2 linked regions of the Arabidopsis thaliana genome follow. The protein of the gene in region 1 interacts with the protein of each later gene in a pairwise test. Each region holds a gene or a part of one and is shown in the gene's direction. Other genes may lie near its edges.

Region 1 (4,537 bases):
TAAATCACTCGCCGCGAATGACGAATGTCCCCTCCTCAATCTTCGCATGTTTGCTCGCCATTTAACTACTTCTTTACTTATCATACCAAAAAAAAAACTACTTCTTAATTCTATTTATACATAAACTCACTCACACACCAAAATCACATCTCAAATCCTAAAATCTTTCACTCTCTCACATTATTCTCTCTTCATTGATGGCTTCTTTTGCTCTGAAACCCATTTTTTGTTTCATTGCTGTTTTTTGCTTCATCGTCCACAATGTTGAAGCTAGAGAGGGTAAGCTCTTCTTTAGCAAGTTCACTCACATAGATCGTCCTAACAACAAAGATGTCGCTCTATCTCCAGCTCCAGCTCCCGGACTAGCCCAAGCTAATGGAAGACTCGGAAATGGGTCTTTCGGGCCTGGTTCCGGTATGATTCCTCAAACCAAAGAGTCATGGCCAAGTTCATCCACTACAACAGACGAAGAGTTTGAGAAATTGATGGCTACATTTGACGAAGAAAAGAATACCAAGTTACCCGAGGCATTCGAGGAAGAAGAAGAATCTGAAGATTCGGAAGATCTCAATGAGCCAAAGGATAAGTACAACAACAACAACAACAATAATGGATACACTTACACTACTAACAATTATAATGACAATGGGAGAGGTTACGGTAATGAAGAAGAGAAGCAGGGGATGAGTGACACAAGGGTTATGGAGAACGGTAAGTATTTCTACGACACAAGAGGTAGGAATTCAGAAAACACCCCTAGTCGCGGGTATGAGAATGCTCGAGGAAATGATCATACCAACGAGTTTGAAACTATGGAGGAATACTACAAGAGCTTGGAGGGTAGTCAAGAAGAGTATGAGCCTTAGAAGGAAATTGTATTTGAGAAAACAAAACACTTTTTTGGAGCAATTAATTATATTGTGCAATCTCCATTTACTTGTCTTTTATGAAAAGTGAAAGTAAAAACACTTTTAAGTTATACAAATCAAAGCTGTGAGTTATATTATGTTTATGCTAAAATTTTTTAACGTTTATCTTAATCTCAATTTATGACCATGATTAATACCAGCGACGAGTATGTGTTAAAAATAGAATCAAAAGACCAATAATACCAATTTAAGAGAACTATGCAAGACCAAAACTACACCATCATAATCTCAAAAGTAATCATAACTGAATATAATCTCAGTGACCTAGAGAGTTCTCTGAAAATTTAAATTAAATAATAACGAAGAGAAGTAGAGACAGACACCGGTTGTAGTCATTAAGCAGTAATTACTTCATACTCGACCAGAGAGAGATTGTTGGCCCGGTTAACCTCGAACGAAACAGGACCGGTTATTTCAATGCGTCCCCATCTGTCAACAGCCATTCTCATAGTGTCCTTGAACAAGTCGATCTTCGCATTCCTCAGTATAACTGTTGCTCCAGTCTTCATTAGATCAACTGCATTTGCAACCCCAAAAGAACATCATTAATTAGTACCATACATATTCTCACATATTGAATAGGAAGTTGTATAAATGTCAAACACAAACACACTAATCAAAGCTTAGAGATTAATGAAGTGGAACATATTGAACACTAATCAAAGCTTAGACATATATAAATAGATATACTCTGTTCATCAATAAACTAAACTATAAGCAAAATTATCTATAAAAAAAGTTAAACTTTATCAAAATCTCTGAAGTATAAATGTTTTAGATCTTCACAAACATAGAGATTCCAATCAAGGCATATATAAACCTAGAAACAGAGAAATTATGGAAAGATTGAACGCAATTTCGAGTGAAAACGATAGAGAAACGATTACGAAACCCTAACCAAGAGAACTTATATATGTAAATAATTAAGATCCTTACCTTGGTCGTTGCGAGCGGTGAAAAGAATGCATCCAGTATCGTCACCAATTAGGCACTCAGCGATACGAGGAGATGAAATTGGCTGCTGCGTCAACGAACTTTTACGAATCGCCGGTTTAACGGGATTCGATTCAAGGACTTTGACGATCAGAGTATGGCCGCTGGTTCCTGGTTTGAGCTGATCCACCTTCACAAACACTGGTTTACGCTTCGGCGCAGTCGTCGCGTTAGTATTCGCCGTCGTCGACATAGTGTCGTAATTTGAATCTCCTTAGGGTTTTTCAAAATAATTGACAACTTTGACGTGATGAAGAGTCGCGCTGGTAGATTAGGGTTTAGATTCTTCACAATGGTATTTAAATGAGAAAATTAGAAACAAATCTTACTCTGGATTATTATCTAAATTACTGGATTATAAATTACCACTAATTCATTTTTTGCGATTTTTAAAACGGTATACATTTTATTGGCGCGTTCAAAATTTGAAACTTAAACTCATTATATTTTCATATTATGCTTAATATTAGTCGAATTTTCTTTTTTTGACATCCAATATTAGTCTAAGCAGATTGTGGAGTAATAATAAATCATCAAATTTTGTTATAATGTAGCAATGTATCATCTACTCAATTTTTATGTATTATAACTTTTGTATCAAAGAATACAATTTTAGATTCATCAAGCTTTCTCGAAGTATATATTCGACATGGATAATTTCTAAGTACTTGTTTATCAGATTCTCAGATAAAATATGAAAAAGCCCAAAGATAATAACCTGTTAAAGCCCAAGCAACAAATGGCGCAAAACTGCGAGACGCAAGAACGGGGACGTTTAGGTTAAAACATAAAAAGGCGTCATAAAACTGTTTTCTCTTTAAGGCGGCGCGTCAGTCAATCCACGTGGACATTTCTTTCCACATTTTTGTCACTTTGTCCTTTTGTGGGATTACGTCACTTCTATAAAACAATAGTTTTGTCCTTTATCTAAATTATTCTCCCCCAACCAAAATATGACCACAGAAAAAGAGAATGTCACTACGGCCGTGGCCGTGAAAGACGGCGGAGAAAAGAGTAAGGAAGTGAGTGACAAGGGCGTAAAGAAGAGAAAGAATGTAACTAAGGCCCTGGCCGTGAATGACGGCGGAGAAAAGAGTAAGGAAGTGCGTTACAGGGGTGTAAGGAGGAGACCATGGGGGAGATATGCTGCGGAGATCCGTGATCCGGTAAAGAAAAAACGGGTCTGGCTCGGGTCCTTCAACACGGGGGAGGAAGCCGCCAGAGCCTACGACTCCGCTGCCATAAGGTTTCGAGGATCGAAAGCTACTACTAACTTCCCTCTAATCGGATACTATGGGATTTCTTCGGCGACGCCGGTGAACAACAACCTTTCCGAGACGGTGAGTGATGGAAATGCCAACCTCCCTCTCGTTGGAGACGATGGGAATGCTTTGGCTTCTCCGGTGAACAACACCCTTTCCGAAACGGCGCGTGATGGAACACTTCCATCGGATTGTCACGACATGTTATCTCCGGGGGTGGCTGAAGCGGTTGCTGGATTTTTCTTAGATCTGCCTGAAGTTATTGCGTTGAAAGAGGAGCTTGATCGAGTTTGTCCTGACCAGTTTGAGTCCATTGATATGGGGTTGACTATTGGTCCTCAAACCGCCGTGGAAGAGCCTGAGACTTCCTCCGCCGTGGATTGTAAGCTGCGAATGGAACCGGATCTTGACCTCAACGCAAGTCCCTAAAGATTGATCTGATGTTGTTGTCCTTGAATAAGTTTGTTATCTTGTCGCTCTTCTGATTGTCTGTACTTCTATTGGTTGATTCGTGCTTTTGGAGGACAAAACAAACATTTTTTTATGTATTAAAAAAAGGTAATTGAACTATTATCGTATCATAACCTAGCCAATGGATTTCGTGTTGACGTGGGGGATAAAGAAGTATTGGTGTCAGGTGGGTCGCACGTGTGTTTTTCGCCGTCCACAGTGACACGTGGAATACAACTTATCTCACTACTTACCTTTTTTACTCACGCGCTCTCTTTTACGGTGATATACACTAGCTCCTTGAATTAGTTATAACTTATAAGAGCAAAGGTAAATATCAAATGAGAGAAAGAAAAACATCTGTGACAATGATTGTATTTAATACCCCAGTAACAAACTGATCCAAAATCAAGATTCTCTTGATAAACAGAAATATGTATGTTTCATCACTTTGTTTATAGCAATGAGTATAGAGTCCACCAAAAGGAGTATATATGTTCATAGATCCCATACATGCATGTATGTGCTCATATATTATAATATTATGTAGTCAACACGTCTCGATATGTACATCTGTCGATGACATACACATGCCTCATATGAAAGCTACTAGCTTTCGTGTGGTGTCCAAAGAAGAACAATTGGAGAACTTGTCGCACCTTTTTATATACAAAAAAGGATGTGACATATAACTTTAGGGAGACGGTACTAACACAACTGTATTCTCGTCTACCAGGCACCAGCATAACCAAAACATAACACATTTCAGGGTGAGGGGGATGAATAATTCGAGAATTGTGCATAGGTACATTCATAAAATTAAATCATAAACATAACACGTTTCAGGGTATACGATGAGATGAAACATTTATTTTCAAGAAACGCATATCTTAATATCATTTA
Region 2 (8,258 bases), about 28 Mb from region 1:
CATCTCCGGTGGTCTAAAACGACGAAAGAACACAAATAAAACGAAAGCATACAAACAAAAAATTACTAAAGAAAGAAAAAAAAAAAGGTGGCGCACGTTAGCAAACCGAAATCGGGTTTTCCCAGGAGAGAAGCGGATAAGGCGTAACCGGATATAAAACCAGCGGAGAATCCGGTTTGCTGCACAATAGCCGCGGATAAGGCATCGTAGCATCCAGGCATAAGCACAATGCCTTGTTCTTCAATCAGGCGATGAAAACGTGTTTGGATTCTCGCTGTCGGATTCACCAATCTCGCCGCGCGTGGGTTCCGTCGGAATGTTGGTGAAGCTGTAAGGTTTAAGCTGCTACAACAGAGTGAAGTTGTTTTGACAGCCATTAACATCGACATTCTTCGAAGCCTCGAACAAGTTTTTTCTTCTCTCTAATCGAGTTAGACTCTGACCCACACGCTTGGGATTTTAATAGAGAGCACGTGGTTATTATATCTCGGTCTTATCTTATGGTAACAGTATCTCAAAGACTCAAACCACAAGGTATTGTGAAAATGTTAGAGGCAATCTAACAATAAATGTATAATTTGGTTAGCTTAAGCTCATCATAGAAATGGGCCTTTATGTCACCAAACCTATTTCACAACATAACACAAGAGCCCACAAAACAACGACTCCTTTCTCCACCAGAACAAGCACGACAAAGGCAAGAGAGTTGCAAAAGACCTATAAGATGATAACAATCGAAAAGATGTAAATTTTGAGAAAAATCAAAATAAACAAGAAAGATTTCATTGTTTTTCACTTTTTCTCCATTTCTACTTTGATTTTACATACTCTATGGGCCAACCAATTTCCAACCTAATGCTTGATAAAAAATGATTCGGTTTTACTATCTCAACAAATTGGGCCTACAACATCCAATTTCATGTAGTGACTTGTTTTTGCCTTTTTCACATCTCAACAAATTGGGTCGTTTGTATTTAAGAAATTGTTACAGCTTTTTAGACTGAATTTTACTTTATGGCTTTATGCTCTCTTTTTCCGTTTTGATTAAGGGTGAATATGTAAACTGTTGATACCATCTGATTTTTTTTATTTTTTATTTTTCTTGTGTGCAACTATACCATCTGAATTCAATTGACATTTTAGCCAAATAAAAAAGATTGGTCCACTTGGATGGCTGTAAAAAAGTTTAGTGGAAGTATTTATAGGGCTTGTTGGCAATCTTCACCAACGGCTATAATGTTGATCTTTTTAAAATTAAACTTACCGTTCGACTGTCTTCTCAACGATTTGACAATTAGCCGTTAGATTAGTATTACTGATTTATTATTAACAAACCCATTTCTTTTCTTATTTTTGAATAAGCTAAATCAGGCCAATAAAAGGGACAAGTAGAGATGGGCTATTTCTTTTTTTCTCTTTTTTTTTTTCTTATGTAGTAGAGAAAAGCCTTTATTCTTAGAGCTATCATTTACCACCCATTAACCAGAAGCTGAGAAATGAAGCAAGCCGAAACGAATTTGTAGTTTTGGACGGTGAAATTATATCGGGCCTTTAATGGGCATGTGAATAGAGTTGAGAGTCTTTTTGCCCCAAATAATCGTTTAAGGGAGTATTGGCTCGTTGGTTTAATATTGGGCCGAAACGAGATTGGGAAGAAGAACAATGTCGGTTTAATCCGGTTAGGGTCGTGGGCTGATTCTGGTTCACCTTTATAGCGTAAGCGAACAAACATTGAAAATGGGGAAGCCAAATTAGTTACCATCCCTAACTCAGTTTTGAGACGTAGTATGAATGAGCCACGGCAGAACCTACGACCTAACTCGATAAAGTAATGGTTACTCTTGGAGACGGAAGAAAGCACAAAGATTTTGATAAGGCTTTCTAGTTGGTGAAATGGTCAAAATCGCTCGGAGAGCCATCATAGGAGCGGGGAGGTGCTATCTGAATATCCCAATGCATCAAGACAAGATGGATTCAGAAAACAAAGAAATTAAACAAACATTTTAAAATATGCTCTTAGTTTTAGATAATATAATGTTTTCAATACCAATTATCTTACACTGATAGTGGTCAAGTTACTAATCACTTTTAATAAATTGGTGATAGTCAAACGTATTGAAAATTATCGATTTAAAAATATTTGAATTCAAAACCATTTTAGTGAAAGTTTGCATTGTAGTTTTGATTATCCGATCAATCTTTAATATAATTACGTCAATAATAACTGAAATCCTTGAATTAACCGTTACCCGATTCATAAGCACTACTTTCCGATCAAAACCAATGAGATAAAATAACTTTTAAACCCTCCAAATAAAAAGAGAAAACCTTAAAAACCAATTTCTGTTCGGTGGGGATGATGATCGGACTCGGACCGGTCTAACCGACTGGATTAAAAAGTCTTTAACAACGACAAGCTTAAAAATTTGCCTCTTAGTGGCTTCAAAACGCAATCGTTTCGCTTAATACTATTATTTTCTCTATCTCGTTTAACCAAAAAAAAAAACGAGTTGGAGGAAAAAAAAAACCAAGAAAAAAGAATAAAAAGCAAAAAGCATTGAGCGTCTCCGGAGATTAGGATTAAATTAGGGCATAACCCTTATCGGAGATTTGAAGCCATGGGAAGAAGAAAAATCGAGATCAAGCGAATCGAGAACAAAAGCAGTCGACAAGTCACTTTCTCCAAACGACGCAATGGTCTCATCGACAAAGCTCGACAACTTTCGATTCTCTGTGAATCCTCCGTCGCTGTTGTCGTCGTATCTGCCTCCGGAAAACTCTATGACTCTTCCTCCGGTGACGAGTAAGAAGATACTTTCCTTTTCTGGGTCTCACTCGATTTTTGTGCTTTTTTACTTTGTTTAATTACTTTCTCCATATAGAAGCTTCAAATCTAGGGCTTTTTGATTCCATCAAATCAACTGAGATTTTCTCCTTGTTTTCTGTATGAAGATAGCAGATGCGTAAGCTTTAACCTAATTTAAGACTAAACATTTTGATCGCCAAGATATGTTCTTGATGTTCGTTTCGTGTTTTTTTTTTCGTGTTTTTTTTTTTTTCATTTTAAAATCATTTTTATCTCTTTTTTTACCTTCATTTGTGACGAAATTTAATATTGCATGTTATTCAAGAAACTTTTCTACACGTGGTGATTCGTTCTTGATGTTGTTTAAGTAATCTTTGTATTGCTAGTTCCATCTGTTGTTCACTTTGAAGCTTCGTTTTTTCATATAAGAAACAATATGTTTAGATTGTTCAAATTTTGAGATTTGGTAATTATATTCAATATTGCAATGCACTTCAAGTAGTTTTGTTGAGAGATTATTTGGGGTTAGTGGTAACATTAATCGAATATCTTTGGTTCAAATTGGTTAACACATTGTACTTTATGTTGATCCAAAATGTATTGTAGATCTTTTCTTTTGTAATTCTCTTTAAGGAATAAGGTTTATCTAGTTGATTTTGATGGTTTATTGTAGTGCTGGGATAAGTTTCCACATTGATACTCGCCACACATTCTTCATTACTTAACTAATTGGATATCGATTTTAACCCTTTTAATCGTAATTTGTTGTGTGTTTATGACACCATACAAGATACATTATGTCTTACTGAGTGACTCTTTGTTGCTCTCTAAGATGTTGTAGTTTGGATTTCTTTGCTAAAGAAACTCAAACTATAACTGATTTTACTGCTACCATATATATGTCAGTGGCCTAGTAGGTTCATTAAGTAGAAATCGGTCGCCAATTTTACTAATTGGGAGAAACCACTAGACTACAACCAAATGTTCAATGACTTTAATAGTCTTCTGTTATTTGTCGTGGATATTTTTAACCCCATGAACTTTTGTATCTAGAAAAATCTCATCCACTTCTCTTTTAGAATACTTTGAATGCGACTAAAAGTGAGTTTTTTTTTTCTAATAGACCTAAGATAAAATCATCAATGGATAAGTAGGAAATGGAAAGGTAACTCTTGTCAGTATGTGTATATATACAGCTCCTTCTCATTTCCTTGATGTTGACTCCATAAATGCTTGATCATGAAAGCAAATTTGTTAAATTTGTAACCAACAAAATGCACAGACTATAGACGAAGTATTAGGAACCGTATCTATCTGTCTCCATTTTACAATAGTCAAGCTCTAGTTGTAGCTAGTTTCTTTATTTAGTTCTTATACCTTAACAAAGTGGCACTATGCAAAGTGTTTTTAGTTGAGATTAGTCGTCTTATGCGTCTTACTAATTGTTCATTTTTTCTTCTTTTTGTGATTGATGTAAAATTACTAAGTCACAACTTGAGATGTTACTAAAAAGATAAGAACGTGTAATAACTGAAGTGAATTTGAAGCCAGTCTCTATTCATATCATAGCATTAATAGATCATGGACAACACATATATAGGATTAGAGCTGTCATGACCTTCCCGGAAATGCTAAATCAGTTTCTTGGTTTATCCTTTTTGGAGTATCATGATATCATTTAGCCAAAGGTTTTTGGTTTCAGTATTCCGATTCGTTTGACGTTATGTGTGAAAGCGTCAATAACTAAAACTTGGATTGACTAGTCAAAATATAAACTGATTGCATTGAATTCTTGAAAATTTTCCCTTAAAATGAACATGAATTTCATCAAGATTTTGTCTTTTGGAAGGATGTGATTTATAATCTATACAATCATACATTTTGCATGATATTAGTTTTTTGAAGAACCAAAAATAGAGCTTCTTTATAAAACTGATTTAGCCTTGATAAGAAAAAGAAGGTAGATAATCGAACTCATGGGGATGAGTTAAAAATGTGTGCACTTAGTTTCTAAAACCTTTTGAAGTCGAAACAATGACAATATTGGCTGCGAAGTTGATATATAACAGGATCTTAAAGTTGAAATTGTAAATTCAGATTTTAATTTTAGAGCACCAGATGATCAGAGTTTCAGATTTACATTTGAAGTATAAAACATTTTGAACACATATATCTAAAGCAGTAACTTCAAAAATAGGGTAACTAATAGTAACTTACATTGTTTTTTTTAATGCTTTTATACTTACTATCATTTTTATATATAGATGCCTGGTTAAGTAAAGATGATTATCAAAAACTGTTGGTTAGTAACAGAAATTGTTGCAAATGTAACATATTATATAAGCTTTCTTTCACTTTGGTGCATTCTCTCTAAATAATGGCCTCTATTGATGCAGTATCTGATTCTTAGTTTTGAAATGGTTTTTGCATAAATTATTGTTCTAATGCATTTTTGTTTTATCTCCAGCATTTCCAAGATCATTGATCGTTATGAAATACAACATGCTGATGAACTTAGAGCCTTAGTAAGTAATTAGCTAAGAACGTCATTCTAATATTCTTCTGGATGCGGTTTTTGGTGTTATGAAGGATAGAAGCGCTGTTCAAGCCGGAGAAACCTCAATGTTTTGAACTCGTAACACCGAACTTAATTCTCTAGAGTTACAGTTATTGTGTCTACTGGAAAATACAAGAACTTCACAATCTTTCTGACCATTCCTTTTCTTCATGTGCAGGATCTTGAAGAAAAAATTCAGAATTATCTTCCACACAAGGAGTTACTAGAAACAGTCCAAAGGTTAGCAGTACGACACATTTTTCTCCCCTCTTCTTCTGATAAAAAAAATGTTTTTTTTCTTTTGTCTACTTGTGAATACAGCAAGCTTGAAGAACCAAATGTCGATAATGTAAGTGTAGATTCTCTAATTTCTCTGGAGGAACAACTTGAGACTGCTCTGTCCGTAAGTAGAGCTAGGAAGGTATATGTGCTGCTACTAAGTGATTCAACCAATTACTCCACAAAACCTTCTTTTTAGTTAGTTATCCTAGAACAATCTTTTGACATAAATCTTAATGTCTTGTTATAGGCAGAACTGATGATGGAGTATATCGAGTCCCTTAAAGAAAAGGTTAGTGCTTTGGTTTTTATTTTCGATAAAGGCCATATTCTAGGCTATGATGATTCTTGAATTCTATTAACCTGCTGAGTCTACAGATTACTATATATATATATATATATCTTTTGGTCTTGTCTTAGTTCCTGATTTAGTATTGGCTTCATTCAGGTGAAACCCTAATGAGAATTAAAAAAACAAGCAGTTTTAAACTCTTGATCAAATCCAACCTTTCCCTCATAAAGTGTCGAATTTGGATGAGGATGATTTATGTTTCGAGAAGGAAACATGTTTGGAAATAGCTATAGAAGTTGTTAGAAACTAATGACCTTATGATCTTTTCCAAACAGGAGAAATTGCTGAGAGAAGAGAACCAGGTTCTGGCTAGCCAGGTAACAATGACCACAATATCTTCTGCTCTTGAAGCTAATTAATCACTTTATACGTCCCCGTTATAGAGAGATACACATATACACGTACATGAAAACTAAAAGTTGAAGGACTTTGATGGATACTAGACAATTATAGTGAAACCCTAAATATGTGATAAGTGATAACAAAATGCTTTTAAAATCTATCTTTCTTGTTAATTTAGTAGCTGTCAGAGAAGAAAGGTATGTCTCACCGATGAAAGATACTCAAAACCCGGTATTTTTAATTTGTGAAATTTGCAAATAAAAAAAATGCTTTCTACAAGATAGATTAATTTCTTGCAATGTTTAGTAGCTGTAGAAAAAAAAGAAATGTAAGAAAGTTTCTTACAGATGGGAAAGAATACGTTGCTGGCAACAGATGATGAGAGAGGAATGTTTCCGGGAAGTAGCTCCGGCAACAAAATACCGGAGACTCTCCCGCTGCTCAATTAGCCACCATCATCAACGGCTGAGTTTTCACCTTAAACTCAAAGCCTGATTCATAATTAAGAGAATAAATTTGTATATTATAAAAAGCTGTGTAATCTCAAACCTTTTATCTTCCTCTAGTGTGGAATTTAAGGTCAAAAAGAAAACGAGAAAGTATGGATCAGTGTTGTACCTCCTTCGGAGACAAGATCAGAGTTTGTGTGTTTGTGTCTGAATGTACGGATTGGATTTTTAAAGTTGTGCTTTCTTTCTTCAGCGTGAAGAACCCTAGACCTTCTTATTTCTTTTTTTTTTTACTTTTTTTTTTTATAACTTTAATTATTTGATTATTTGTCTTACATTACGTGGCAAAGTTATTTAGTTGCATCTCTTTTAATTTGATCAAAACCATATCAGATATTTTGCTCTTTTTTCCAAGTTTAGTGATTCTGTTTTTGAGAGCTCCAAACTATATAAGATATTTTTCACCTTTTCCAAGTTTTATTATTTGTGTTTTTGAAGAACTCAAAAAAGCCAGCTTTTGAACTCTGTTTCATGTTTTGGTTCTTTCTGATGAATCCAGATCCATACAACCGTATGCCAAACTCACTGCTCGTATGTTGTTTAGTATAATATTACAGGATTCTCAACTTTTTACAAATACACATTTATGTACCGCTCTTTGTGTTCTTAGTCTTGAGAAACACTTGAGTAACTTGTTGAAGATCTGATATATCCAAAAAAGTTCTAAAGTCTAAACAATGCGGAATGAACTAGCTATCCTCTTCAGATCCTTGTAGTGTCTCTTCCATTGAAGACCTATAGAATCAAACATAAGCAGAGCAATTAACTATGTGTACAAACCAAACAAAAGGTGTTTGCTCTGTCTTTAAATCTCTGACTAGAAGAGAGGTTTTGCCTTACCGTTTCCGGTGACACTGAACAAGTAAAGGCGGTTTCCGGCAGCTGTTGCAGTTATCAGTACATGAGGCGGCTCTAGCTCGAATTGGTAATAGAGTCTACCATCGTGTTCTGCAACATTGGAACTTAACACCTTCCCTTCTACGTTTTCTCCAATAACTTCTGGTCCAAACGCGTTAATCACCTTCGCTGGTTGTCCAATATTTTCAATCTTAACATCGTCCCCGAGGTCTGTATAAGTGGAACACACAAATCAATCAATCTACGAGTACAAATAGACAAGATTGCATTGCCTATATAACTCAAAAGAGTAAAGTTGATGAATCTTTAATAGCAGAGACAACTTACTATCTGCAAATCTAAGAACAGGAGCTACAATAACAGACAAACGGCCTTCTTTAGGACTAGCAAATCTCAAGTCAATCTCGGTGCCACCAAGATCAGCGATCGATACAGGTACCTAAATTTGATACAACAATGAAAAGAATCTCAAAGTATGACTAAAAACCATAGAAACGAAGAAACAAGAGCCAAGGGACAAAACCTCATTCCAATCTTGAGGAACCGAAAAGGCGT

Evidence for each region. The genes of interacting proteins can lie anywhere in the genome.
Region 2: the proteins of ERF10 (region 1) and MAF1 interact in a two-hybrid assay, tested with the Arabidopsis thaliana proteins (one large-scale study listed by BioGRID).

The regions. Positions count from the first base shown.
Region 1 is NC_003070.9:956,337-960,873, reverse strand, and holds ERF10 (ERF domain protein 10), read left to right. Parts: upstream 1-2,490; 5' UTR 2,491-2,875; coding exon 2,876-3,613; 3' UTR 3,614-3,770; downstream 3,771-4,537. Other genes in the region: AT1G03820 (E6-like protein), read left to right, coding at 198-866; AT1G03810 (Nucleic acid-binding, OB-fold-like protein), read right to left, coding at 1,265-1,446, 1,866-2,115.
Region 2 is NC_003070.9:28,953,061-28,961,318, forward strand, and holds MAF1 (K-box region and MADS-box transcription factor family protein), read left to right. Parts: upstream 1-2,461; 5' UTR 2,462-2,618; coding exon 2,619-2,803; exon of another isoform or gene 2,804-5,250; coding exon of another isoform or gene 5,251-5,273; coding exon 5,274-5,331; intron 5,332-5,395; coding exon of another isoform or gene 5,396-5,441; intron 5,442-5,541; coding exon 5,542-5,784; intron 5,785-5,892; coding exon 5,893-5,934; coding exon of another isoform or gene 5,935-5,994; exon of another isoform or gene 5,995-6,090; coding exon of another isoform or gene 6,091-6,102; exon of another isoform or gene 6,103-6,269; coding exon 6,270-6,311; coding exon of another isoform or gene 6,312-6,353; exon of another isoform or gene 6,354-6,517; coding exon of another isoform or gene 6,518-6,550; exon of another isoform or gene 6,551-6,683; coding exon 6,684-6,785; 3' UTR 6,786-7,051; downstream 7,052-8,258. Other genes in the region: AT1G77060 (Phosphoenolpyruvate carboxylase family protein), read right to left, coding at 1-13, 97-389; AT1G77090 (thylakoid lumenal protein (Mog1/PsbP/DUF1795-like photosystem II reaction center PsbP family protein)), read right to left, coding at 7,516-7,580, 7,686-7,913, 8,031-8,142, 8,227-8,258. UniProt on the Arabidopsis thaliana protein: Probable transcription factor involved in the negative regulation of flowering time in both long and short days, probably through the photoperiodic and vernalization pathways. Prevents premature flowering.